Linked DNA regions of Oryzias latipes. The protein of the gene in region 1 purifies or fractionates together with the protein of each later gene. This does not show direct contact. Links are inferred from orthologs where the notes say so. Each region holds a gene or a part of one and is shown in the gene's direction. Other genes may lie near its edges.

Region 1 (2,859 bases):
TTGACACACATTTTGTCCCTGCCAGTTTAAACCGAACCACAGCTTCCACCAAAATGAACCAGCGCTCAAGTCGCAGTCACGCTATCCTTCTGATCAAGGTCTGGCGTGAAATTCCATTCATTCCTAATTTTTCCCCTTCAAACTGAGATCCCAGTCAAACAGCATCTTAAACAGGTCGTGGTCTCTGTGCAGTAGACCAGGATTTGGTAGCTGGTGCTAAAATCAATTCTTTCTTGCAACACTCCCACTAGCAGCAAATGTTGCGCTTTTGGGATTACTTTGAAAGAAACAATTCAGTCATTGTCCTTTTTTTTTCCTGTTTTTATTTTCTTGCTAATCAATATCTAGTTGTGTTTTAGAATTGTCTATTGCATCCTGCATATTTGTAAACTGTTGCTGTTACTTTCAGGTTGTGCGGACTTCCCGTGTTTTACCCCACAGGCAGCAGACGGGCAAACTCTACCTGGTGGACTTGGCTGGCTCTGAAGACAACCGTCGCACCGGCAACCAGGGCATCCGCCTAAAGGAGAGCGGCGCCATCAACCTGTCCCTCTTCACGCTCAGCAAGGTGGTGGACTCCCTGAACTCCGGCACATCGGTCCGCGTGCCGTACAGAGACAGCAAACTGACCCGCCTGCTGCAGGACTCTCTGGGAGGCTCGGCCCACTCCGTCATGATCACCAACATCGCACCAGAATACAAATACTACTTTGACACATTTAGCGCGCTGAACTTTGCGGCCAAATCCAAGATGATTGTGAACAAGCCTTTCACGCGGGAGACTGTGGCCGTTCCTGTGTTACCAGGTGAGCAGCAGCAACACAAAGAACCACTAACTCTAAGGCCAGTAGGGGGCGCTCCTGTCCCAAACAGCAGCACTTATTTCAAGTTTTTGTCATTTATCATTTATCATGGTTGCTTTTGTCCTTTTGCCTTTCTTAAATACATTTTGCTGCAGCTTTGACTGATGTTGGGCTATCTTCCTCATGCTTTGCTGCTGATGGAGGACTGTGCACTCAAGCAGCACTCCTGTGCTCTGAATTTCAAGCGGTTTAATTCTTCCCTGCGTCTTTAGTGAAGCGAGCCCGAGAGGAGCATAAGGCTGGAGGTTCTGGCAGCGAGCCACACAGGAAGAAACAGAAAGACGGGAAAACACCCGAGCAGGACGCCTCTTCACCTTCAGCCGATTCCATGTGGGTACTTACTTACTTTTCCCAGACTCGTCTGAACAGCTCCGGCTTACTGGAAAGTGTCTTTGCATCATGTCAAATTCAGTCTCATTTAGACGACAGCATCAGAAACTGGCGCAGGCCTCATCAGAGCGAGCCAAGATTTTAGAGCTTACGAGGAATCAAGATTTATGCAAGGCTGCCATTGGTCACAGCTGCTCCCCCGACCATGCAAGACCGGCACTGCTCACTTTTACCATCTGTTATCAAGTGGACACGTCTGTTCGGCCTCAGACGCATAACCTTTTGACTCATGTTTTCACATTTCTATCCTTTTATATAGTTTGGCGGAGCCATCTGTCATGGACAGACTGATTGCTTTGGAGAAGCTGGTGATGAATTGCCAAAACAAAGACCGGCTGAGCGTGACTAAGGATGTGGCTCAGTCTCGCAAAGAAATCCAGGTGAAGTGGCACCAAAAACACCAGTGCAGTTTCTGAAACCTCATTGATGATGGTTACGATCGCGTAGATTAAAACTCTGTCAGAATCAGATGTTAGAAGTCAATCGGGGATCTGGTTCTTATTTTATTATTTTGATCAGTGCTATATATTTCAAGCACTTTTCTTTTCTTCTGGAAGTCTGCATATCTGGAACAAACCAACATTTTATTGCTGTAAAGCAGAGCAGAATACGTTAGCAGTTTGAGCAGGAGAGGCACAAAAACATTACGGGAAAGTTGGCGAGATGTTGACATGTTCAGACATCCAAACTCTTTAATAAACATTTAAAGCTGACAGCAAGCATCTCTATTGGTTTGTCTTAACGCAGTCAGTGATTGATCGATTGCCTTGAATGAAATGCATGGGAATCCTTGAAAATCGTTGTTCTTCTCTGTTGCAGAAGCTCGCTGGTTTGATACTTGGCGCTCGCATTTTTCACAAAAATATCTTTTTTTGCTATAGTGCTGTTTCCACTTTATTTATGGTCAACTTTGATAATTTCTTTATTAAAATTTTTGTTTTTGTGCCAATTATTACCCTTTAGGTTTCATTTTCATTCAGCAATATAGGCTTCAACCCTGCATTTTCTTCTGGAAACGCAGCTCCTCCTAGTCTTAATTCAATCTTATTTTGGCCAAAAAGCTTTTATTGTTTAGCATTTGTGCCGCATCTCCACTCAGATTTATCTGTTTTCATAAAAATATATATATATATTTGTTTTGTTTTTCAAAGGAGCTGAAGAAGAAGCAGAAGGAGTTTGAGAGTAAAGCCATGCTTTTCAGCCAAGTGGCCAAAGAAACCCCCGGTTCTGCAGAAGAGCCCGTCTTCAAAAACACCACGGCTCCTCTTCAGAGAAAACCTGCTAGGCAGCAGGCTGTGGTCCAACCCCTGCAAGGTCAGTGAGACGCAAACAAAGTCACTTTGACTCAGTCGTTTCTACATTTCCCATCAAATGGAACAAAAAAATCAAAAACCTTATTTCCTAAAGCAAATAGATTTTTTTTATTTTTTTATAGAGGAAATTACTAAACAAGTTTTTCAAAACATGTGACGTGTTCTTCCTTAATGAGTTGCTTCTGTCACATCGATTCTCAGTTTTATTGATCTGCAGTGCGAGATCAAATGGCGACGAGGAGGGATTCTTTTTACACCCCTCAGCATCACTGAGAGCCACTCGGATAACTTTC
Region 2 (4,247 bases), on another chromosome or scaffold:
ATTTTTATTCAAAATGTGTTTGTCTTCTGAAACAAAATGATATTGATTTAATGACTTGTACCAAATCAGTGAGAACTTAACCCTTGTGCTTTCCTGTGGGGTCCAGATGACCCGATCCTTACATTGACGTGTTCTTCCTACCATGACAAAGGTGGATTAAGGTGAATAGGATTTCATGTAATCCATGGACACCAGTGAAATCATTGAAGAAAAAATGTTCAGCGCACTGTCTTGTGGGGTCTAGATGACCCAACTCCCAATGTTAAAGTGACTCAGATAGCACAAAGGTTACAGCAGATTTATTAGTTCCCAAATGAATAAAGTAAATCTCTCATGTTGATGTTTTTTTTAATATTGGAACTTCAAATAAATGTAATTTTTATGAAGATTTTGGGTTTAAGGTGTTAAATATAAATATTCATAAAATATTATGGAAAAGTATAGTCATTTCCATGATTCCATTGAAAACATTGTCCAGATTAAAATAGTTTAAAACATCCGTGCCCCGCAGAATTTGGACAGATTTCACCACAGTATTCAGATTTACTAAAAGTTTGTTTTCGTGGTTTTAATGAGGTGGAACCCAAATTTATGTAAAAATAAATAAATATTAGAAATCAATTAAACAGTACACTATATTCAATTTTTAGATCTAATTATCCAAATGAATAGACTTTTCCATGATGCTCTATTTTTAAAATGGTATTCAATAAAAATCGTGATACTACTGATAATTTTGTAGTTGTAATATCGAATATAATGGCAACATGGTGTGAAACTGGGAATTACATTTTTAGCATTGTATTGTAGAGAAAAAAGACAGTTCTCCGATCTAGAATGCCTTACTTCTTAATACTATGCCAAAATTGAGCAATCCTATTCCCTTTTTTTATTCAGATTTTGACTGCCTTATGAGAAATAGCATAAACTAATTCATTATATATATATATATATATATATATATATATATATATATATATATATATATATATATATATATATATATATATATATATATATATATATATATATATTATATAATATAGTATAATAGTACATAGTATAATATATAATATATATATATCTAATATATATATAATTTTATTATAATAAAAAGAATTTAGAATTTTACAATTCCCTAATGAAAACTCCTTAAGAAATGATGCGACATGGATAGGGTTTTAGTGAAATGACATATTTAAGTTTAGGTGATCACGAATCAAACGTCTGCCTTCCTAAACATGAGCAGACGTGAGTCGGTATAATGCGGTGTCTTCTGCACACAGACGTGAGCGGTGAAACCAATGAGAGTGAGGGGGATTTCCCCACCCTTCCCTTACGCCAGAGCGAGGCTGCCCTCTACCACCGGCATTCCCAGTATGCACCGCGGACCGAGCAGCAAAAAATAGTCCACTAACGAAAGACTGCGAAAAGGGAACCAGAAACAGATAGCTTACCGGCTAAAACTCTGTCCAGTAATATTTAACGTAATCAGAACTACTAACATGGCCGACAACGAGAAACTGGACAACCAGCGACTAAAGAATTTCAAGAACAAGGGCCGAGATTTGGAGGTAAAAGTTGCGAAGATCGGTGTCCTCGCTTTCGTCTGCACAGCCGCCGCGCTCAGCCTTGCCCCTCGGCTCCGTTGTGACGTCGTTTCTAATTTACACCACGGGCAACTTTGCTGCCAGAAACTGGCGAGGGCCTTCAGAAATCAGTGTTTATTGGAGGCTGGAATCGTTGGGTCAATTTCGAACTGGTTTCGTTTTATCCCGAAACCGTGTTGGGTGTAAAACATGTCAGAAAAGCCTCCGCTGGATCAGCTCTGCTAGCCACCAGCTAGCAAGGCCTCCGGGAACATGCTAACTCCACTGATGCATATCATCCCCCAGTTCGGTCTCGCTCGGTCAGAAATGTTAACAGCTTGCATACAATTATTTACAAAGTACTTTTACGTTATCTTCTGAGAATGTGGTGTTAAGTTAAGCTAAAACAACGACAGATGTTCGTACTTCTAACATTGCAGTTAGCCCAACTGCGTGCTAGGTTAGCGCGGCGGTGCTGTTGGCTGCAGTTCCACCCATCCCCCGTCTTTATAATCAAAAACAATGGCGGAAACAAGTAAGCTTCTAACATGACCACTTATATTAGGCTCAAGTCCACACCAATAGTAATATAGTTCTATTTTATGCGTTAATAGGACGTATTCTCAGGAGAGCAGTCTCCCCTTAACACGTTTACTACATGATTCATAGATCAAAGCTGGACGTTGGTTCATCATGTCGGATCAATAAGTTACCAGGTGATTTACAGTCAGGTCAACGCGTAGCTGTTAATGCATTCCAGCTAGTATTGATATCGGTTTCAGGTGGGGTTGCAGACGCAGGAAACCACGCATCCTGTTTGAGAAGGTACATATATGTTGCGAGGGGGGCGTCGATGATTGTTACGTTAATTATTCGACTTTCAACTCGAGAACCGCGCGTGAAATTCGTTTCTCCAATGATAAACTTTAAGCATCAACACCAAGGTTCAATACTTAATGTAAATAACTTCTAATGCATGCAAAGGTTCACGAGGAATTGAGTCAACAAACATTGTCAATTTGCATTTACTTTGCCTCCACTGTGTGCATCTGACGTAGAATTGTTTCAGAGGGCGGCGGCCACGTGGGACAGTAAAGCTGCACCTTTACCGTGAATAGAAACACATCTAATGTCACATCATGCACTGCAACCTGTAGACATATCCGCTTCTGAAATAAATTTGGCTTGATGTAATTACTAAGCTGGTAGCTGAGGGAGGAAGTGCGTGCGATTTTCAAGATGTTTTTAGTGGGTTACCAGATCACTTCTCTCATTCATAGTTCTATTTTAAGTCATCTCTGTCATATGACATTAATATGTTTACTATTTTTGGTCAGTGTTATCACTAATAAAACAACTGACTGTGTGGACACAATTGAGACATAACTGGTCATAGTGAGGATCCTAACAAACTATGGTTTTAATATTTGCAACAGGTTTTGCTTGACTAGAAATCGAATAAAGTAATGGGTAGATGAATAATCTTGTATAGGAAAACCCTAAAAGTGATCCTTAAGGTCTTCTTCCAGTCATGTTGTTTTGTTGTAACTATTAACCTGCTTTTTCTTTTTTATTGAAAAAGCTTGCTATACTACCATTTCCTAAAAATGCAGTTCCCATTTTTGCCATTTTACTTTTTTTTCTTTTTGCATATGATACAAATATGTCAAAAAAGAACAATGAAACCTGAAAATGTAAAAATGATGTATCGGTCAGGTACTGTAGTTCTTAAAGCTGAGTTACATTTAGTCAGACTTGTGATACTCATTTGTAGTTGCAGACCTCTGCTTTATAGATGCTGTAGACTTAATGCCCAGACGACCTGCATCATCAATACCCGAATATACACAGTACCCTGATATTCTCATTTATTTCTCTAAATTTGTTTGGAAGGTTGAAATTTCCTAATTTAACTAAATTTAATATTTTCCTTGCAGACGATGAGAAGACAAAGGACTGAGGTTGTCGTGGAACTTCGAAAGGTAAATAAACTCTTTACTTAAGCCATTATTTAATTAATATTGCAGAATGCTCTCAGAATTGAATATTCAGCTATATTTTATATATACTTTGCAGTAACATAAATGGATGATTAGTGAAGTGAGCTCACTAACTTTTTCATTACAGAACAAAAGGGACGAGCATCTGCTGAAGAGGAGAAATGTTCCCCACGAGGACCTCTGTGAGGACTCTGATCTTGATGGAGATTTCAGATCAGTGAGTTTATCTTTCAAATATTCCTTTTTTACACCATTATTCAGAAAAACCATATATTGCATGTTTGAATTGCAATACTACTATTAGCAACAGGGATGACAGCTTGTCAGATATGGTATAGACTGAATTTGTACTGAGATTTTGTACATTTTTGGAAAGTCTTCAGATGCTGAGCAGGTTAGGTTTAGACTTTTGCATTTAGGATGCTGCTTTATTTTGTACTGACTAGGTGGGGCAAGATTGTTTCAAAGTGTGCAGTTTGTCTTGCTATGTACTCATTTTTCTTGATCAATGTGCACAAAAGCTTCAGTTGTTGCTCAAGATACTTACAGGCACAAAGAATGAAGCATTTCTAGATATTTTAGAGGCGCTATAAAGACAATAGATGGGTGACAGATGAAAATCTAGAAAATGTCTTAAAGCTGAACTAAGTGTGTTTGA

What was found.
Region 2: the proteins of kif22 (region 1) and kpna4 purify together in Homo sapiens (affinity purification with mass spectrometry; 3 studies listed by BioGRID and IntAct, counting the BioPlex papers as one, with this or other methods). This does not show direct contact. The link is inferred for Oryzias latipes from reciprocal best matches to the Homo sapiens genes KIF22 and KPNA4.

Annotation. Positions count from the first base shown.
Region 1 is NC_019877.2:7,649,867-7,652,725, reverse strand, and holds part of kif22 (kinesin-like protein KIF22), read left to right. Parts: coding exon 1-98; intron 99-409; coding exon 410-806; intron 807-1,075; coding exon 1,076-1,193; intron 1,194-1,512; coding exon 1,513-1,633; intron 1,634-2,404; coding exon 2,405-2,567; intron 2,568-2,859. UniProt on the Homo sapiens protein: Kinesin family member that is involved in spindle formation and the movements of chromosomes during mitosis and meiosis. Binds to microtubules and to DNA. Plays a role in congression of laterally attached chromosomes in NDC80-depleted cells.
Region 2 is NC_019871.2:13,522,448-13,526,694, reverse strand, and holds the start of kpna4 (importin subunit alpha-3), read left to right. Parts: upstream 1-1,343; 5' UTR 1,344-1,505; coding exon 1,506-1,574; intron 1,575-3,526; coding exon 3,527-3,571; intron 3,572-3,716; coding exon 3,717-3,806; intron 3,807-4,247. UniProt on the Homo sapiens protein: Functions in nuclear protein import as an adapter protein for nuclear receptor KPNB1. Binds specifically and directly to substrates containing either a simple or bipartite NLS motif.